Linked DNA regions of Anolis sagrei. The protein of the gene in region 1 binds, or shares a complex with, the protein of each later gene. Links are inferred from orthologs where the notes say so. Each region holds a gene or a part of one and is shown on either strand. Other genes may lie near its edges. The genes, in order: HEATR3, RRS1 and RPF2.

Evidence for each region.
Region 2: HEATR3 (region 1) and RRS1 share a complex: the UniProt entries of both Homo sapiens proteins name them as parts of the hexameric 5S RNP precursor complex. The link is inferred for Anolis sagrei from reciprocal best matches to the Homo sapiens genes HEATR3 and RRS1.
Region 3: HEATR3 (region 1) and RPF2 share a complex: the UniProt entries of both Homo sapiens proteins name them as parts of the hexameric 5S RNP precursor complex. The link is inferred for Anolis sagrei from reciprocal best matches to the Homo sapiens genes HEATR3 and RPF2.

The regions. Positions count from the first base shown.
Region 1 is NC_090028.1:31,600,323-31,607,835, reverse strand, and holds the start of HEATR3 (HEAT repeat-containing protein 3), read right to left. Parts: upstream 3,047-7,513; 5' UTR 2,944-3,046; coding exon 2,800-2,943; intron 990-2,799; coding exon 817-989; intron 1-816. UniProt on the Homo sapiens protein: Plays a role in ribosome biogenesis and in nuclear import of the 60S ribosomal protein L5/large ribosomal subunit protein uL18 (RPL5). Required for proper erythrocyte maturation.
Region 2 is NC_090024.1:45,535,286-45,542,361, reverse strand, and holds the start of RRS1 (ribosome biogenesis regulatory protein homolog), read left to right. Parts: upstream 1-3,994; 5' UTR 3,995-4,055; coding exon 4,056-5,138; 3' UTR 5,139-7,076. UniProt on the Homo sapiens protein: Involved in ribosomal large subunit assembly. May regulate the localization of the 5S RNP/5S ribonucleoprotein particle to the nucleolus.
Region 3 is NC_090021.1:93,052,276-93,059,531, forward strand, and holds the start of RPF2 (ribosome production factor 2 homolog), read right to left. Parts: upstream 3,109-7,256; 5' UTR 3,064-3,108; coding exon of another isoform or gene 3,030-3,063; coding exon 3,007-3,029; intron 400-3,006; coding exon 267-399; intron 1-266. UniProt on the Homo sapiens protein: Involved in ribosomal large subunit assembly. May regulate the localization of the 5S RNP/5S ribonucleoprotein particle to the nucleolus.

The DNA.
Region 1 (7,513 bases):
TGAAGACTAGGACGCAGAACAATGGCTTCAAACTACAAGAGAGGAGATTCCATCTGAACATGAGGAAGAACTTCCTGACTGTGAGAGCCGTTCAGCAGTGGAACTCTCTGCCCCGGAGTGTGGTGGAGGCTCCTTCTTTGGAAGCTTTTAAACAGAGGCTGGATGGCCATCTGTCGGGGGTGATTTGAATGCAATATTCCTGTTTCTTGGCAGGGGGTTGGACTGGATGGCCCATGAGGTCTCTTCCAACTCTTTGATTCTATGATTCTATGTTATTTTCCTCCAAGTAATCCTGGATTTGATCAGCTATTATGCCTGTCAACAGTTGTTGTTGTTATTATTATTATGACAATAAGTTGTTGTTATTGTTATTATGATTCTCTCTAGAAGGAGACTTGGGTCCCTTCTACACTGCCATATAATCCAAATTATCAAAGCGGATAATCCATGATATCTGTTTTGAACTGGATTATATGAGTCTACATATTATATTATCTAATCCAGTTCAAAACATACAATCTGGATTTTATATGGCCATGCAGAAGGGGCATCTAAGTGCAAATCCCATAAACTGGGTGGTAAGAAAGGACCCCAAGCCATAAACAATGGGGAAGGACACGTTTCCTGGAGCTGCTAGGAATGGTATGGACTCTTCCAAAGTATATTGCTCTGGCTGTTTCTAAACAGAGGCTGCGTGGCTATCTGTCGGGAGTGCTTTTATTGGGTGTCCCTTCCTTATAGAATGGGGTTGGGCTGGATGGCCTTTGGGGACCCCTTCCAACTCTAGGATTTTGCCTTAGATGTTATACTACTCACCGAAGCGCTCCCGTCGCCGTCTCTCGAACCGCCAGGCTCTGATCGAGCAGCATGGGCCCCAAACACCGGACCACGTCCCTCTGCACAAAAGCCGGGATTGTCTGTTTCTGCTGCAAGAGCTTGGAAATGCTGGCGCAAGCAAATTCCCGAACGTCAGCGCTGGGGTGCTGCAGCTACAAAGAGGAAAGAAGGGGCACGGTTTGAGAGATGCAGGTGCCAGGTAACCCAAAGTAGCAAGATCCCTTCGCCAATGACTTATGGGACTTAGCTGTAGGACGTTGTGTGTTGGAGGAGATGGCAAGGACCTTCTCTGCGGTGGCCCCCGGTTTGACAATATCTACTCTTTAGTGGCCTGATTGGCACCTACATGCACAAATCTACACATTTTAGGCAATAAACCAACCCAAAAACATCAGGTTCGATTAAACTTCGGCCCTCCCGGTGTTTTGGACTTCAACTCCCACAATTCCTAACAGGAATTGTGGGAGTTGAAGTCCAAAACACCAGGAGGGCCGAAGTTTGCCCATGCCTGCTTAAAGCTTTCAGATACGAGGATTTTCCAATGCAGCCTAGGCTCAACACTGCTGTATAATCCAGATCATAATATACTTCTAAACTGCTAGATAATCCAGTTCAAACCGGAGAATCTGGTTTGTAGTGTAGATGGGGCCCTTGAACTGCTAGGGATTAACCTGGGGATTTCTACCTGCAACCCCAGACCCTTTCTACACTACCATATATAATCCAGATTACCTGCTTTGAACAGGATTCTATGGCAGTGTAAACTCCTATAATCCAGTTCAAAGCAGACGTGGATCATCTGCTTTAATAATCTGGATTATACGGCAGTGTAGAATCCTATAATCGAGTTCAAAGCAGATACGAACCATCTGTTTGATAATCTGGATCATATGGCAGTGTAGAAGGGGCCTCTGGATTATATAGCAGTGTAGATTCATATAATCCAGTGCAAAGCAGATGTGGATGATCTGCTTTGATAATCTGGATTATATGGCAGTGTAGACTCATATGACCCAGTTTAAAGCATATGTGGATGATCTGCTTTGATAATCTGGATTATATGGCAGTGTAGACTCATATGATCCAGTTTAAAGCTGATATGGACGATCTGCTTTGATAATCTGGATTATACGGCAGTGTACACTTATATGATACAGTTTAAAGCAGATGTGGAACGCCCGCTTTGATAATCTGGAGTATATGGCAGTGTAGAATTCTATAATCCAGTTCAAAGCAGATATGAATCATCTGTTTGATAATCTGGATCATACAGCAGTGCAGAAGGGGCCTCTGCACCATTATATGGAAGTGTAGACTCATATAATCCAATTCAAAGCAGATGTGAATTGTCTGCCTTGATAATCTGGATCATATGGCAGTGTAGACTCATATAATCTCGTTCAAAGCGGATGTGAATAGTCTGCTTTGATAATGGCTGTGTAGACTCATATGATCCAGTTCAAAGCAGATGTGAATAGTCTGCTTTGATAATCTGGATTATATGGCAGTGTAGACTCCTATAATCCAGTTTAAAGCAGATATGGATGATCTGCTTTGATAATCTGGATTATTTGGCAATGTAGACTCCTATAATCCAGTTCAAAACAGATGTGAATTGTTTGCTTTGATAATCTGGATTATATGGCACTGTAGACATATATGATCCAGTTTAAAGCAGATGTGAATCGTCTGCTTGGATAACCTTGATTATATGGCACTGTAGACTCATATAATTCATTTCAAAGCAGATATGAATCATTTGCTTTGATCATCTGGATGATATAGCAGTGTAGATTCATATGATTCAGTTCAAAGCAGATGTGGACCATCTGCTTTGATAATCTGGATTATATGGCAGTGTCAGGGGGAAACCACCATTCCCTTCTCCCTAACCATAGCAGGATTCCCAGAGCTGGCTGGACCCTGCAGTATCCCTGTGGCCATCCTTTCTTTGCAGCTTACTTTCTCCAGCAGCTCCTCGGCTGGGGACCCGCCTTCCTCCTCCTCCTCTCCTTCCTCCTTCTCCTGGCCCTTCTCCTGGCCCATCTTCCCCACCGCGGGGCTGTAGGGGGCCTGCCGGAACCGCCTGGCCTTGCTTTTGCCCATGATCCCGGAGGGAGACCCCAGGAAGGAGGCGGAAAGCGGGGACCAGGCCGGCCTCTTCCCCCCTCCTCCTCCTCCTCCTCTTCCCCAGTTCCCACGTGTGCGGCTCCTGCGCATGCGCCACGCAAAGGCCCAGCACAGCTCTGCCCAGAGGCTGCAAATACACTCCCTTCTCTTCCGGACTACAGCTCCCAGCATCCCCTACACCAGACCCTTGAGGGGAGGAGGAGAAGGCTCCAAATGCACTGCTTTGAAACTGCAAGCATTCTTCTTGGATTTGTTTGAGAGCATCCCAATCCATGCAGATTTCCAATTTCCTGTTATTGGACTGCAACTCCCAGGTAGATAGATAGGTAGATAGATACACAGGTGGGTAGATAGGTAGGTAGATAGCTAGGTAGATAGATAGATAGATAGATAGATAGACAGACAGACAGACAGATAGATGGGTAGATAGGTAGATAGGTGTATAGGTAGGTAGATGGGTAGGTAGATAGGTAGGTAGATAAGATAGGTAGGTGGATAGATGTATAGGTGGGTAGATAGGTGGATAGGTAGGTAGATAGCTAGGTAGATAGATAGATAGACAGACAGGCAGACAGACAGATAGATGGGTAGATAGGTGTATAGGTAGGTAGATGGGTAGGTAGATAGGTAGGTAGATAAGATAGGTAGGTAGATAGATATATAGGTGGGTAGATAGATGGATAGGTAGGTAGATGGGTAGGTAAATAGGTAGGTAGATGGGTAGGTAGGTAGATAGATAAGATAGGTAGGTAGATAGGTAGTTAGATATATAGGTGGGTAGATAGGTAGGTAGATAGGTGGATAGGTAGGTAGGTGGATATGTATATAGGTAGGTAGGTAGGTGGACAGGTAGGTAGGTAGGTAGGTAGGTGGATATGTATATAGGTAGGTAGATAGGTGGACAGGTAGGTAGATAGGTAGGTAGATGGGTAGGTAGATAGGTAGATAGATTAGGTAGGTAGGTAGGTAGGTAGGTAGATAGATAGATATATAGGTGGGTAGATAAGTGGGTAGATAGGTAGACAGGTAGGTAGGTAGATAGGTAAGATAGATAACATAGAAAGATAGATAAGATATATACATAAGACAGAAAGATGAGACAGAGAGATAGATAAGATAGAAAGATAGATAGATTAGACCAGTGTTTCTCAGCCTTCCTAATGCCGTGACCCCTTAATACAGTTCCTCATGTTGTGGTGACCCCCAACAATAACATTATTTTCCTTGCTACTACATAACTGTCATTTTGCTACTGTTGTGAACTGCGATGTAAATATCTGAAATGCAGGATGTGTTTTCATTCACTGGACCAAATTCGGCACAGATACCCAATATGCCCAAATTTGAATACTGGTAGGGTTGGAGGGGGTTTTATTTTGTCATTTGGGAGCTGTAGTTACTGGGATTTATAGTGCGCCTATAATCAAAGTTCGAAAACATGCAAATGTGAGTAGATCAATAGGTACCGCTCCGGCGGGAAGGTAACGGCGCTCCATGCAGTCATGCCGGCCACATGACCTTGGAGGTGTCTATGGACAACGCTGGCTCTTCGGCTTAGAAATGGAGATGAGCACCACACCCCAGAGTCAGACATGACTGGACTTAATGTCAGGGGACTACCTTTACCTTTACCTATAATCAAAGCAAAGGATCCAGCAAAGGATCACCGCCTTGTCGGGGCGCTGGAGCTTGAGCACCTCAATGATGTCATGAGCGAAACCGTGAAGGGACACCCAAGACGGGACGGTTGTGGCAGAGAGGTCAGACCAAGCGTGATCCCTGGGGAAGGCAATGGCAAACCACTCCAGTATCCTTGCCAAGAAAACTAAATGGACCAGTACAACCAGAGATATGTCGGTATGCCATTGGAAGATGGGACTCCCAGGTCGGAAGATGGCCAAAATGCTACTGGGGAGGAGCAGAGGATAAGTTCAACTAGCCCCAGATGTGATGACGCAGCTAGCTCAAAGCCGAAAGGAAGGCTAGCGGCCGACGGTACTGGAGGTGAACGACGAATCCGATGCTCTAAAGATCAACACACCATAGGAACCTGGAATGTAAGATCTATGAGCCAGGGCAAATTGGATGTTGTTATTGGTGAGATGTCAAGACTAAAGATAGACATTCTGGGGGTCAGCGAACTGAAATGGACTGGAATGGGCCACTTCACATCAGATGACCACCAGATCTACTACTGCGGACAAGAGGAACATCGAAGAAATGGAGTAGCCTTCATAATTAATAAGAAATTCGCTAAAGCGGTGCTTGGATACAACCCAAAAAATGACAGAATGATCTCAATTCGAGTGCAAGGAAAGCCTTTCAACATTACAGTGATCCAAATATACGCCCCAACCACAGCTGCTGAAGAAGCAGAAGTAGATCAGTTCTATGAGGATCTGCAGGACCTACTGGATAATACACCAAAAAGAGACATTATTTTCATTACAGGAGACTGGAATGCCAAGGTGGGAAGTCAAATGACAACTGGGATCACAGGCAAGCATGGTCTGGGAGAACAAAATGAAGCGGGACGCAGGCTGATAGAATTTTGCCAGGAAAACTCGCTGTGTATAACGAATACTCTCTTCCAACAACCTAAAAGACGGCTTTATACATGGACCTCACCAGATGGTCAACACCGAAATCAGATTGACTACATCCTTTGCAGCCAAAGGTGGCGGACATCCATCCAGTCGGTGAAAACAAGACCTGGGGCTGACTGTAGCTCGGATCACGAACTTCTTATTGCCCAATTTAGAATAAAACTAAAGAGATCAGGGAAAATACACAGACCAGTTAGATATGATCTCACTAACATTCCTAGCAAATATACAGTGGAAGTGAAGAACAGATTTGAAGGACTAGATTTAGTAAACAGAGTCCCAGAAGAACTATGGACAGAAGTCCGAGACATTGTTCAGGAGGCGGCAACAAAGTACGTTCCAAAGAAAAAGAAAACCAAGAAGGCAAAATGGTTGTCTGCTGAGACACTGGAAGTAGCCCAAGAAAGGAGGAAAGCAAAAGGAAACAGGGATAAGGGGAGATATGCCCAGTTAAATACGCAATTCCAGAGGTTAGCCAGAAGAGATAAGGAACTATTTTTAAATAAGCAATGCATGGAAGTGGAAGAAGACAACAGAATAGGAAGGACAAGAGACCTCTTCCAGAAAATTAGAAACATTGGAGGTAAATTTCAGACAAAAATTGGTGTGATAAGAAACAAAGATGGCAGGGACCTAACAGAAGCTGAAGAGATCAAGAGAAGGTGGCGAGACTATACAGAAGATCTGTATAGGAAGGATAATAATATTGAGGATAGTTTTGACGGTGTGGTGAATGAATTAGAACCAGACATCCTGAGGAGTGAGGTGGAATGGGCCTTAAGAAGCATTGCTAACAACAAGGCAGCAGGAGACGACGGGATCCCAGCTGAACTGTTTAAAATCTTAAAAGATGATGCTGTCAAGGTGATGCATGCCATTTGCCAGCAAATATGGAAAACACAAGAATGGCCATCAGACTGGAAAAAATCAACTTATATCCCCATACCAAAAAAGGGAAATGCAAAAGACTGCTCCAACTTCCGTACAGTGGCCCTTATTTCTCATGCCAGTAAGGTAATGCTCAAGATCCTGCAAGGAAGACTCCAGCAATACATGGAGCGAGAGTTGCCAGATGTTCAGGCTGGGTTTAGAAAAGGTAGAGGAACGAGAGACCAAATTGCCAATATCCGCTGGATAATGGAGAAAAGCAGGGAGTTTCAGAAAAACATCTACTTCTGCTTCATTGACTATTCTAAAGCCTTTGACTGTGTGGATCATAATAAATTGTGGCAAGTTCTTAGGGGGATGGGCATACCAAGCCACCTTGTCTCTCTCCTGAGGAATCTGTACAAGGACCAAGTAGCAACAGTCAGAACTGACCACGGAACAACAGACTGGTTCAAGATTGGGAAAGGCGTACGGCAAGGCTGCATCCTCTCACCCAACCTTTTTAACTTGTATGCAGAACACATCATGCGATGTGCGGGGCTGGATGAATGCAAAGCTGGGGTGAAAATTGCTGGAAGAAACATTAACAACCTCAGATATGCAGATGACACCACTCTGATGGCCGAAAGTGAGGAGGAGCTGAGGAACCTTCTAATCAAGGTGAAAGAAGAAAGCGCAAAAGCCGGGTTGCAGCTAAACATCAAAAAAACCAAGATTATGGCAACAAGAATGATTGACAACTGGGAAATAGAGGGAGAAACCGTGGAGGCCGTGACAGACTTTGTATTTCTAGGTGCAAAGATTACTGCAGATGCAGACTGTGGCCAGGAAATCAGAAGACGCTTACTTCTTGGGAGGAGAGCAATGTCCAATCTCGATAAAATAGTAAAGAGTAGAGACATCAGACTGGCAACAAAGATCCGCCTAGTCAAAGCCATGGTATTCCCTGTAGTCACCTACGGATGTGAGAGCTGGACCTTAGGGAAGGCTGAGCGAAGGAAGATCGATGCTTTTGAACTGTGGTGCTGGAGGAAAGTTCTGAGAGTGCCTTG
Region 2 (7,076 bases), on another chromosome or scaffold:
AGCTTTGACTTTTAGGGGAAACCAGGTTCTTTAAAATATTGTATTTACTAAATGTTATATATGTAGTATATACAGCTTCAATGTATATAAATGCTGTGATAGCATCCTCCAAATACACTGCAAATGTGATGGTTTCTGGGTACAGTACTTCATCTAGAACACTACAGTACTTCATCTAGAAAAATAAAGAGTGTTTCTTATCAATTCTGAGTGTTGCCCAAAACATTTCATTTGAGTGGTCAAAGGTTTTTTAGAACCTGGAATTATAATAGTCAAAATTCCAAGTACCATAGGCATTCACATGTCAATCCAGATGATAAAGTCACATAACTTATTTTTCTTTCAAAACCAAAAAATAAAACAAACTATAAACACAAAGGAAACTTTTTCAAAAATGTAAACTGTCATCACAAAGAAACTTTTTAAAAAAAATTGAACCACAAGTGTTGCTTTTATACTGCAGAATTAATGAAGGTTGACATAATTTTAAAGTGCCAGGGCTCGATGCTATGGGAATACTGGGAGTTGTAGTTTGGTAAGGCATAACACTCTTGGTCAGGATTCTTCAGAACTGAGTCACGGCAGTTATCAAACTGTAATCCACAGCATACATCAAAGAAGGCAGAAGAGCTTGTAAAAGTACAACTCCCAGGTTTCCCTAAGCACTCAGCCACAGTGATCCATCTGTATTAATGTTAATCAGTGTTATACTTATAATTTATTTTAAAAAACTGCTAACAAAGTTTAAAACTTGGCATTATGCTAAATTTCCTTTGACCAGAAGCTGGACACTTTGAGTGCCTCTGGTGTCACTGTAAGAAGGTCCTATGTTGTGCATATGGCAGGGCTCAGACTGCATTGTAGTAGGTGGTCTGTGGTTTGCATGTCATATGTTGTGGACTCAGCTTTGAAGCCCCATTTCTAAAGGTTAGCTCTGCATCTCGTGGTGCCAGACCACAGCCTGTTCAGCACCTGCCAAACTGCCCAGTCTTCTGTGTGCCCAGGAGGGAGTTTCTCATCCGGCATCAGCCTCTGATTGAGGTTCCAGGGTTTCCCAAACTCTGCTCTATCCAGACTATTGGGACTTCCACTCCCAGAAACTCTGACATTGGCCAAAGGCAGCTGTGACTTCTGGGAGTCAAAATCCCAAACACCTCATGGACTAGATAAAATAGAATCATAGTTGGAAGAGACCTCATGGGCCATCCAGTCCAACCCCTGCCAAGAAGCAGGAAAATCGCATTCAAATAACTCCTGACAGATAACCATCCAGCCTCTGCTTAAAAGCTCCCAAAGAAAGAGATTCTACCACACTCTGGAGCAGAAAGTTCCACTTCTGAACAGCTCTCACAGTTAGGAAGTTCTTCCTCATGTTCAGGTGGAATCTCCTTTCCTGTAGTTTGGAGCCATTGTTCCGTGTCCTAGGGTCCTTCCACACAGCAATATAACACAGAATATCAACACAGAATAACCTACAATATCTGCTTTGTGGCGCCCCTGGTGGAGCAGTGGATTAAACCACTGAGCTGCTGAACTTGCTGACCAAAAGGTTGCTGGTTCAAATCCAGGGAATGGGATGAGCTCCCGCTGTTAGCCCCAGCTTCTGCCAACCTAGCAGTTCGAAAACATGCAAATAGGTACTGCTCCAGTGGGAAGGTAATGGAACTCCATGCAGTCATGCTGGCCACATGACCTTGGAGGTGTTTATGGGCAACACTGGCTCTTCAGCTTAGACATGGAAATTAGCACCAACCTCCAGAGCCTGGCACGACTAGACAATGTCAGGGAAAACTTTTACCTTTACCGATCTGCTTTGAACTGGGTTATCTGAGTCCACACTACCATATATCCCAGTTCAAAGTGGATAGTGTGGGATTTTTACTCAGCTGTGTGGAAGGGGCACTAGTCTCCAGAGCAGCAAAAAACACGCCTGCTTCCTCCTCCCTATGACTTCCTCTCACATCTTGATACATGGCCCTCATGTTTCCTCTCGGCCTTCCCTTCTGTAGATTAAATATGCCCAGTGGATTGGTGTAAGTTTTTCGGGCTGTATGGCCATATTCCAGAAGCATTCTCTCCTGACGTTTCCACAATATATTAAACATGCACAGCTCTTTAAGACGAAACGTTTGCGGTGGGACAAAAAGCCAACGGGATTTTGACCTGCATCCATAGGAGTATAGTGTCTAGATCCAGGGAAGTCATGCTATCCCTCTGTTGTGCCTTGGTCAGAGCACACTTGGAATACTGTGTCCAGTTCTGGGCACTACAATTGAAGGGAGATGTTGACAAGCTGGAATGTGTCCAGAGGAGGGCGACTAAAATGATCAAGGGTCTGGAGAACAAGCCCTATGAGGGGCGGCTTAAAGAGCTGGGCATGTTTAGCCTGAAGAAGAGAAGGCTGAGAGGAGACATGATAGCCATGTATAAATATGTGAGAGGAAGTCAGAGGGAGGAGGGATATATTATTAGCATATCATTATTATATTATAGTACAATGAAGAAATCCACCAGCCGTGAATTGATTCAATCAAGGAATAATAGTTAGGAGGAACCATATGGGCCATCAGGTCCAACCACATGGATCTCTTGCAGGTAGCTGTCCAGCCTCTTTTTGAAGACATTCAAGGCCGAACAGGGCATAGGGTTACAGCCTGTGTTAGACGGGGTTACATTCCCCCTGAAGACGCAGGTTCGCAGCTTGGGAGTGATCCTGGACTCATCGCTGAGCCTGGAACCCCAGGTCTCAGCGGTGGTCGGGAGAGCTTTTGCACAATTAAAACTTGTGCGCCAGTTGCGCCCGTACCTTGGGAAGCCGGATCTGGCCACAGTGGTCCACATCCCAATTAGATTACTGCAACGCACTCTACGTGGGGTTGCCTTTGAAGACTGTTCAGAAACTTCAATTAGTCCAACGGGGGGTGGCCAGATTACTCACCGGAGCGTCATACAGGGAGCACACCACCCCCCTGCTCTGTCAGCTCCACTGGCTGCCGATCCAGTTCCGAGCACAATTCAAAGTGCTGCTTTTGACCTACAAAACCCTTTACGGCTCCGGCCCAGCGTACCTGTCCAAACATATCTCCTTCTACGTCCCACCTCGGAGTTAAGATCTGCTGAGGAGGCCCTGCTCTCGGCCCCACCTTTATCACAAGCAAGACTGGTGGGGACGAGGGACAGGGCCTTCTCGGTGGTGGCCCCTCGCCTGTGGAATGCACTCCCCGGGGAAATTAGGACATCAACATCCCTCCTCTCCTTCAGAAGGAAGCTAAAAACCTGGATGTGGGACCAGGCCTTCAGGTAAGCTGGCAAATGGACAAAGACAACCAATAATGACCAGAGTAGGAAAGGACAATGACGATGCTAAATGGTTTACGGACTTGGATTTGGTGAACATTGACCACAAGATGTTTTTATTGCTGCTAGTATACTGTCAATTGTTTTAATTAGTTATAACTGTGATTTTATATGGTAAATTTGTGTGTTGTATATTGTATTGTATGTTGTAATTGTTAGGCATCAAATTGTGCCTTGTGTAAGCCGCCCTGAGTCCCCCCTAGGGGGTTGAGAAGGGCGGGGTAGAAGCACCCCAAATAAATAAATAAACAAATTGTATATGTGTATAATATTTATAATATTATGTGATGCAATACAAAACTAATAATAATACAATAATATAATATATATTTAATATTACATGTAATATTACTAATAATATTACAATATAATGGTATTGTACAAAATAGTAATATACGTATAATACTGATATTGTGCTATGCTAATAATATAATATATTGAATGTGTGTATGTAGATAATAAATATAAATGCCGCAAATAAATAAATATATAACGGGCTGGTGCAGCAAACATAATCTCAGTGCTCCACAACATCCCCCTCCCGTGAGAACCTACCCTAGCAGAGAGATGCATGCTGGGAACTGTAGTTTTTACAAAGTGGGCTGTGCATTGGGGGAATCTCGCTTGAGAAGGTACATCCGGTGACGCACCGGAAGTAGAGCCTGATAGCTCCTAGCGTGCGGAGAGGGAGATCCAAGATGGCGGCTGCCGGCGCGGCGACGGTGTCCGTGGAGGATCTGCTGGCGCGCGCGGAGGAGCGCGAGGCGGACGAGCATCGGCGTCGGGGCGTGACGGTGCAGAAGGAGCTGGAGCTGGAGTTCGACGCGGGCAACCTGCTGGCGCTGGACAGGAACCCTGCCCCGCGCGCCGTGGCGTCGGGGAAAGCCGCGGAGTCTGAGCGCGAGGCGGCCCTGCGGTGCCTGGCGCGCGACAACGCGCAGCTGCTGGCGGCCCACCTGTGGGCGCTGCCCTCGGAGCGGTCGGAAGGCGGCGCGGGCCCCGTGGTGGCGCGCCTGCCGGAGCCCGCCACGCGCCTGCCCCGCGAGAAGCCCCTGCCCAAGGCCAAGCCCCTCACGCGGTGGGAGCAGTTCGCCCGCCTCAAGGGGATCCGGCCCAACAGGAAGAAGCGCGGCTCTCTGGTCTGGGACGAGCAGGCCAAGGAGTGGCGCCGGCGGTGGGGCTACCAGCGCGCGGGGGGCAAGGAGCCCTGGATGATGGAGGTGCCCGACTCGGCTGACCCTTCCGAGGACCCCTACGCGCGCAGCAGGAGCGAGAAGCGCGAGCGCGTGGCCCGCAACGAGCTCAACCGCCTCCGCAACCTGGCCCGCGCCCACAAGGCGGAGATGCACCCCACGGGCAGGCAGGACAAGGCCGAGCTCGCCCGCGCCGCCACCCTCGCCCGCGCCGCCACCGCCTCCAAGGGCCGCTTCCAGCCCCGCCTGCCCCGCGAGGACCCCCACGCGCCTCAGCGCAGCCCCGGGAGGAAGAGGCACTTCCAGCCCCTGCTCGGGGACCTCCAAGCAGAGAAGGCCCGCCACCTGGAGCTGGCCAAAAGCCTGGGCAGCAAGAAGCCCCTCATTAACATCGCCCGCGCTGTCGGGAAGCAGCTCCGGGAGGAGGACGAGGAGGCCAAGGCCCGAGGAGGAGGGAAGGGGAAGAAGAAGGGCCAGCGCGGGAAGAGGGCCAGCAAGCAGCAGCAGAGGCCTCGGGGCCCCAAGGGCAAGAAGGCCGCAGGAAGAGGAGGAGGAGGCGGCGGTGGGAAGGCCAGGAGGAAGAAGTGAAAGCCCGCACATGTACTTTTGCTCTCAAAATAGGAAAACAGTGGCCTTGGGTTTTCTGACCACAATAAAGACAGTGTCCTGGGATGTTGTGATTCACCTCCTTGCAGTCTTGAACCTGTTGAATAGGCATGGGCAAACTTTCAGGTGTTTTCGACTTAAGCACCTACCATTCTTGAGCAAACTTGGGTCCTCCATGTGTTTTGGACTTCGACTCCCACCATTCCTAACAGCCTTAGGCCCCTTCCTTTTTCCCTCTTAGTCGCTTAAGCCCAAACACCTGGAGGATCCAAGTTTGCCCATGCCAGTGTCCTGGGATGTTGTGATTTACCTTCTTGCAGTCTTGAACCTGTTGGATAGGAATGGGGAAACTTCCAGGTGTTTTAGATTTCAGCGGCCACCATTTTTGAGCAAACTTGGGTCCTCCATGTGTTTTGGACTTCGACTCCCACAATTCCTAACAGCCTTAGGCCCCTTCCTTTTCCCTCTCAGTCATTAAGCCCAAACACCTGGAGGACCCAAGTTTGCCCATGCCACTGTCTTGGGATGTTATGATGCACCTTCTTGCAGTCTTGAACCTGTAGAATGGGTATGGGCAAAGTCCCAGGTGTTTTGGACTTCAGCTCCCACCATTCCTGGGCAAACGTGGACCCTCCAGGGGTTTTGAACTTCAACTCCCACCATTCCTAACAGCCTTAGGCCCCTTCCTCCAACCAAAATTTGGAAGAGTCAAGTTTGTCCATGCCAGTGTCCTGGGATGTTGTGATGTGCCTTCTTGCAGTCCTGAACCTATAGCACAGCCATGGGCAAACTTCCAGGTGTTTTGGACTTCAGCTCCCACCATTCTTGAGCAAACTTGGGTCCTCCATGTGTTTTGGACTTCGACTCCCACCATCCCTAACAGCCTTAGGCCCCTTTCTTTCCCCTCTCAGTTGCTTAAGCCAAAACACCCGGAGGACCCAAGTTTGCCCATGCCAATGTCCTGGGATGTTGTGATGCACCTTCTTGCAGTCTTGAACCTGTAGAATAGGCATGGGCGAACTTCCGGGTGTTTTGGACTTCAGCTCCCACCATTTCTGGGCAAACGTGGACCCTCCAGGGGTTTTGGACTTCAACTCCCACCATTTCTAACAACCTTAGGCCCCTTCCTCCAGCCAAAATTTGGAGGACTCAAGTTTGTCCATGCCAGTGTCCTGGGATGTTGTGATGTGCCTTCTTGCAGTCCTGAACCTATAGCACAGCCATGGGCAAACTTCCAGGTGTTTTGAACTTCAGCTTCCACTATTCCTGGGCAAACTTGGGTCCTTCGTGTGTTTTGGACTTTGACTCCCACCATTCCTAACAGCCTCAGGCTCCTTCCTTTTCCCGCTCAGCCACTTAAACCAAAACAGAGGACCCAAGTTAGCCTATGCCTTCCATAGAGTCACCAAACTCCCAGGATTCCCAGTTTCCCCAGGCCTGGTGTAGATGCACCTATAGCTTTTGTCTTTCCCCTGAAGTCCTACTTTTATTTCCCAATGAGTCACAATGATGCCTCCAAAGTAGCAGATCCTTGGTCCAGTTATCATAATTCAGGAGGAAGTTTGCTTCCTATATAGGAGGAAGGAAGGCCAGGAGGAAGAAGTGGAAGCTGGCACATGTACTTTTGCTCCCAAAATAAGAAAACAGTGGCTTTCGGTTTTCGGAACATAATAAAGACAGTGTCCCGTGATGTTGTGATGTGCCTTCTTGCGGTCTTGAACCTGTAAGACAGGCATGGGCAAGCTTGGGCCCTCTTGAGTGTTTTGGACTTTGATTCCCACCATTCCTAACAACCCCAGACTCCTTTTCTCCCTGAGGCTGCGAGGAATGGTGGAAATCGAAGTCCAAAACACTCAAGAGGGCCCAAATTTGCCCACACTTGCGTGAACCTGATTAAAGGGGAGATAAGCAACTTGTCCC
Region 3 (7,256 bases), on another chromosome or scaffold:
TTTCTGCAGAGTCCATTGTAAAACAGTGCATGTAGTTGCTAACAGATTTGTGTAAATGACTGGAGAAACCTTTCACTGTTTCAAAATTTTTCGTGACCCCAGCAATTAGCTAAGGGGACGCTATTTAAGGTTGGGACCCACAGTCCCAACCTTAAGAAACAGTGCTCTAGGGGGCTAAAGTTTGAGAATCAGTACTTTAAATCACCTTTCTATGTAACACAACAGAACATAGCCCCAGCTCCACAAATATTCCCAAACATACTTACAATGTCTTTTAGTACTTCGGTGATGGTTGTATTTGCATTTCCACCTTTTATGAGCATAGCATTCTTGGTATTTTCTGTCAGCTTTGGCTCCCTTTTTTCAAGAAACCTTTTTGCCCTCTTGGTTTTGGGTTTTCTGCCATGAGAATATTATTGTCACAATGTTAACTTTCACCAAGTATTTGAATGTACTTACAGTCAGTCCTTGAGTTACAAACATTGAGAACAGAGGTGAGACAACAGGAAGTGGAAGAAATCTACCCCTCGGAAGGAAATCCACTCCTGGAAGAGTTGTCATGGGGAAAAGGTGTCTCCACTGAAGCTTTCTCACCAATCCTTGTTTCCAAAACAAACCACATTTTTCAAAATCCAATTATCACAGGGACAAAAAGTGAGATGAAAACTTTCCAACAGTAGCAAGACAGCAAAGCAAACACCACAGGGGTATTAACCCTTCCCTATCCTTTCCAAAACTTAAAAAAATGGCTGGAATTACACTTTTTAAAAATTGCTTGTTCTGATTTAGACACAGATTCAACTTAAGAACAAACCTACAGAACCTGTCTTGTTTGTAACCTGGGGACTGCCTGTTTTCATTTACTTCTGTATTGACTGCTCCCACGGGAAGGTAACAGTGCTCCATGCAGTCATGCTGACCACATGACCTTGGAGGTGTCTACAGACAATGCCGGCTCTTCGGCTTAGAAATGGAGATGAGCATCAACCCCCAGAGTCGGACACGACTGCCCTTAATGTCAAGGGAAAACCTTTATCTTTACCTATTGACCAGTTTTTCTCCTAATCGACACCAAAGGCAGTTTGCAACCTGACTGACATTTTGGCTAATGTTCCTTGTAGATGTGTTTGTCCCTTCCAGTTACCTTCATCATGGTTATTTTCACAAAAATATAACTATTTTTCATATAACTATTCCAAAAACGCTGGTTTTGGGGTGGCTCACAAAACAAATTCATCCCTCGGTCAACAGCTGGCATACTAAAGGCGATAGATTTTGGAAGTTAAGCAGGGCTCAGCCTTGGATGGGAGACCACCGAAGACTGCTGTAGGGCTGTGTTTCAGAGGAAGGGATATTCTTCTGAATATTCTGCCTAAGAAAACCCCATGAAATGAATGGGGCTTCCACAAGTGGATAAGCAACTTGAAAGCAAGCACATATCTGGATGTATGTATATGTTGTGGTTGTTCATTTGTTCAGTCACTTCCAACTCTTCGTGACCTCATGGACCTCATGGTTAAACAGAGGCTGGATGGCCATCTGTCAGGGGTGATTTGAATACAATATTCCTGCTTCTTGGCAGGGGGTTGGACTGGATGGCCCATGAGGTCTCTTCCAACTCTTTGATTCTATGACCAGCCCACGCCAGAGCTCCCTGTCAGCTGTCACCACCCCCAGCTCCTTCAAGGTCAAGCTAGTCACTTCAAGGACCCCATTCATCCATCTTGCCCTTGGTTGGCCCCTCTTCCTTTTTCCTTCCATTTTCCCCAGTATCAATGTCTTCTCTAAGCTTTCCTGACTTCTCATGATGTGGCCAAAGTACTTCATCTTTGTCTCTAATATCCTTCCCTCCAATGAGCAGTAGGGGTTTATTTCCTGAAGTATGGACTGGTTGGATCTTCTTGCGGTCCAAGGCACTCTCAGAACTTTCCTCCAGCACCACAGTTCAAAAGCATCTGTCTTCCTTCGCTCAGCCTTCCCTAAGGTCCAGCTCTCACATCCATAGGTGACTACGGTGAATATCATTGCTTTACCTATGCGGATCTTTGTTGCCAGTGTGATGTCTCTACTCTTTACTATTTTATCGAGATTAGTCATTGCTCTCCTCCCAAGAAATAAGTGTCTTCTGATTTCCTGGCTGCAGTCTGCGTCTGCAGTAATCTTTCCAACTAGAAATACAATGTCTGTCACTGCCTCCACGTTTTCTCCTTCCATTTGCCAGTTATCAATCAATCTGGTTGCCACAATCTTGTTTTTTTTTATGTTTAACTGCAACCCAGCTTTTGCGCTTTCTTCTTTCACCTTGATTAGAAGGCTCCTCAGCTCCTCCTCGCTTTCGGCTATCAAAGTGGTATCATCTGCATATCTAAGGTTGTTAATGTTTCTTCCAGCAATTTTCACCCCAGCCTTGTATTTATCAACCCCTGCATATTGTATGATGTATTCTGCATACAAGTTGAATAGGTTGTGTGAGAGTATACAACTCTGCCGTACGCCTTTCCCAATCTTGAACCAGTCTGTTGTTCCAGGGTCAGTTCTTACTCTTGCTACTTGCTCCTTATACAGATTCCTCAGGAGAAAGACAAGGTGATTTGGGATGCCCATACCACCAAGAACTTGCCACAATTTATTATGACATACATATATCTCTGGAAGCAGACTCGAGTCCTATTTTAAAGACAGCATATAAATACATGAAATAACTAAATTTAAAGTAAACAAACAACCCAAAGTTCAATGTGACACAAGCACAGGCCTGGTCAAACTTGGGCCCTCTCTCCAGGTGTTTTGGACTCCAACTCCCATCATTCCTAACAGCCTCAGGCCCCTTCCTTTTCCCCCTCAGCCGCTTAAGCGGCTTAAGCCGCTTTTCCCCCTCAGCTTAAGCGGCTGAGGGGGAAAAGGAAGGGGCCTGAGGCTGTTAGGAATGATGGGAGTTGGAGTCCAAAACACCTGGAGAGAGGGCCCAAGTTTGACCAGGCCTACACAAGCAACGGTGAGACTCACTCTACTCGATCCAACGCCTCCATGCCTGAAACTTCTGCTGCCTCCACGTGGGACCATTAAACAAGTACTCCGGAAATGTAGCTTTTTGTGTCGTCACATCCGGAACGTGAACGTAGAGATAGGAAAATCTCAGCTCCTCGCAACTTGGATTCTAACCCCCTCCCCCCCTTTGCAACACATTTACACTCCTGCCTCTATATCGTAAACTGTATCCACATCCGAGAGTCCAATCTGGACTCCAAGAAAGGGTCTCTGTTAAGATAGCACCGCACTTCTGTTCAGCACAGTTCAGACTCTCCTTTTCCAAACAAGGCGGCATCCGAAAGGAAACCTGAACTATCGGTTGAAAATGGTCACTTTTTACCTCTAGAAAAAATGCGGGGCTATGGAGACGAACACGTCATAGAGTAGAGTTCGAAGTAGACTTATCAACACTTCCGGTATTGAATTGACATTCGAAGGATGCTTACAGTAAGCCTTCCATCAGGTATTAAGAGCATAATTACCTGGAAGCAAGTCCTGTTAAACTCCGTGGGACTTATCTCTTAAGTAGACATCTATGAAATTGGCTGGTAAACAATGTGACAGAAAACAAGAGAAAAGCACACAGCCCTATATCACAGAATATCAAGGCACAACATTGCACAATATCTGCTTTGAACTGGAATGTATGGCACTGTGGACTCTAATAATAATAATAATAATAATAATAATAATAATAATAATAATGGGGTTGTTGTAGGTTTTTCAGGCTATATGGCCATGGTCAAGCCATTATATGCTAATCAAGGTGTCAGTTAAAACAGTCACACCTAGCTCCAGCAGACAAGAGTCCTTTGTCCCACCCTGGTTATTCCACAGATATATAAACTCCCTTTTCCTAGTTCCAACAGACCTCACTACCTCTGAGGATGCTTGCCATAGATGCAGGCGAAACGTCAGGAGAGAATGTCTCTAGACCATGGCCATATAGCCCAAAAAGACCTACAACAACCCAATAATAATAATACTTTATTTATTCCCCGCTACCATCTCCCCAAGGGTCTCGGTGCGGCTTACATGAGGCCGAGCCCACAATACATCAATAATAAAAATAATAACAAGAAGTAATACAAAACAATAAAAATAATAACATTAGATAACATAGGGACATTCCACACAGCCATATATCCCAGAATATCAAAGTAGAAAATCCCACAATATCTGCTTTGAACTGGAATGTGTGGCAGTGTGGACTTAGATAACATAGGGCCCTTCCACACAGCCCTATATCCCAGAATATCAAAGCAGAAAATCCCACAATATCTCCTTTGAACTGGGTTATCTGAGTCCACACTCAGATCTTGTGGGATTTCCTGCCTTGATATTCTGCAGTGTAGGGCTGTGTGGAAGGACCCCAAATGAGGCCCCTTCTACAGTGCCATATACATTCAGATCATGTGCTTTGAACTGGATTATATGGGAATGTAGACTCAGGCTGGACCTTATATGCCAGAATCTGATCCCAGGGCCCTTTCACTCGACCATATAACCCGGAATATCAGGAAATCCCACAATATCTGTTTTGAACTGGGTTATCTAAGTCCACACTGCCATATTGATGCAGAGCACGATTTTAGGGGGCCCTGCCAAGGCAGAGGCTGGCAGGGCCGTAGCCAGAAAAAAAATTCGGGGGGGGGGGGGGAGGGGTTGAAACCTGCCTCCTAGCTCACACTGAAGCAAAGAGCACAGCAGAGGGCAGAGCAGCCTTCAATAGCCTACAGCCCCTGTCAACCACCTCCACCAAGTCTGGCCTCCTTAATGAGAGCATTCAACACCACCCCTCCCAAACTTGGTTGAAGACCCAGGAAATTTCCAGGTATATAAGTATCGTAAATAATAATAACAACAACAACAACAACAACAACAACAACAATTCTGCAATACCTGAGTCCTGAGATACTGGTCATAGTTCATGAAGAGGTCACCTTGCTTGATATTTTATACAGACATACATATAATAATTGGGGATGTAGGGCATATATAGAGTTCATAAAGGAAAAGGGGAGCATGCAGGATTGGGAAAAATTGGCTTTTTGTGACAGGGTTTCCAGTAAATATAGCAGTTACCTTTTGTTTTAAATATGTGAAATATAGGGCATAAATCTTGATTAAATGTACACACCATCTAACATGTTGTGGTTATTAGTCCTTTTGCAAATTTGCCAAAACTTAACTTTTATCATTCCAGCCTGATGTCCTTGGCAAAACTATGAATTCCCAAATTATAAACTATCTTTTATTGGGGGTGGGGGGCATATTCGACAACAATATAACCCAGTTCAGAGCAGGTACTGTGGGATTTTGTTCAACTGTGTGGAAGGGGCCTCAGAGCCTTTCCACACAGCCATATAACTCAGAATATCAAGGCAGAAAATTGCAAAATATCATCTTTGAACCGGAATGTGTGGCAGTGTGAACTTACATAACTCAGAGGCCTTAGATCATTTTCTTGTCCCAGACTATCTGGCAGCGACTCATATAATCCAGTTCAAATCAGATAACCTGGGACCAGATCCTGCAATATAGGGCAGTGTAGATCCAGCCCCACATAGTTCAGATCAAATAATCTTGATTATATGGCAGAGTAAATCCAGCCTCAGAGGGGCAGGGAGTTTGGGTGCTCTTAAATTAGGGGTGGTATCCATTCACAAGTGTTTTAGGGCACTTGGGACCCCCCAAAATAACAAAAACAGGTAGCAGGTAGTGTCACTGGCTTAAAGGCTAGAGAGTGCTCCATGTCTAAAAATGGTGTGTCACCAATGTGAATTTTTTAGAAAGTTCTGATGTAATGCCTGCTGAAATTACCTCCTCTTTACAATTCTTGGAGGTGTAGGGGCCATCTCAGTTTTCAGTGTGGCACCTTCAAGATCTTTCATACGGCATAACCTTTGATGTACCATGGCCCAATTAATTAGAGGCATGGATGGTAGTTTCAGTGGGCTTATTATGATATACTTGTGTGGTTGGGTACGGCATTTAGCCAAAACAGAAAAGGAAGAAGGACAAACAAACAGGTTTATCAAACTAACTGAGAGGTAATGTAAATCACTTTATTCATTTTTGTTCAGCTGCTTCATATTGGAGCCTGTCTTTGAAGAATTTGTTCAAGGACAGAGGGAAAAGGGAGAGAGATACTAGAAACAAAATATAGGATAAAAAACAAAATTGGTGGAGTGACTGTATTTATTAATTAACTCATCCAGCATGTTTTAGAAAATTCTGAAACTATTTTGTCTTGGGCATACTATAAAGACAAAACAGCAGTTAAAAATAGGTAAGTATGGGAACATTGTTAAGAATCATGGTAGTTCCAGTCTATAACTTCTCAAGTTGCACTCCTGCACTAAAGTAACTTCAGCCTTGTTGGACTAGTCAATGTTAGAAGCCTGTTGGTAACGTCAAAGAATGTACATAACTGTGGGATAAGTCAAAACCCTTCAGTCCTATGAGATGTTGTTTTTAATATATATACTTTTTGTGTTAGCTATTTTGCTAACCTGAAGGGTAGAAAAACAAGGACCAAATGCATGTAAATTAACGGACAGCTGGGAAGCCAGCAGAGTCCTGACTGCTTGAACTCAACAGCTTAGATCTTAAGAACAATTGTGGTATATCCTTTCCTGTTGTGTTGAAAAGGGGCAAAACACAGAAGAAAAGGGCAATGTTTCCTATTGCATAACCCTGCACCTTAGTTTCATCTCATTTCAGGATAGTCTAAATGACAACTGGACAGAGTAAAAGTCCAAAGGCCAATTTTCAGCCCCCATGGTCTGTTGTGGTTCACATAACTTCCAAACAGTGTGTATGTGAGAAAAAGATGGAAGTCATCCACTCTGAATTCCAATCTTTGGGCACCTATCGCTCGCCTTTTCCTCTTATCCTTAGGATCTCCCCATAGATGTGGTGGCTGGCCTTCAGGATGACCACTATATTGGGGTTCAATGTAGTAATGCTTGACTGAATCCTCCTTATCAATATTAAGTGAAAACATATAGAGTAGAAAATATAAAGTTCTATAACAGATAATTATGCTGATCCCACACAGTGTATTAATATATCACTTAAAAATGTGTCTCTGGACTTCATCCACGTTTTAAGCTCCCAAGAGCTGTATTCAGAATGTTTGATTTCCCTTTTCCCAACAGACACCACATAACTCTTTAATAAACACGCCTCTGAGTTCTATATTTTCTCCTATCCCAGCATTT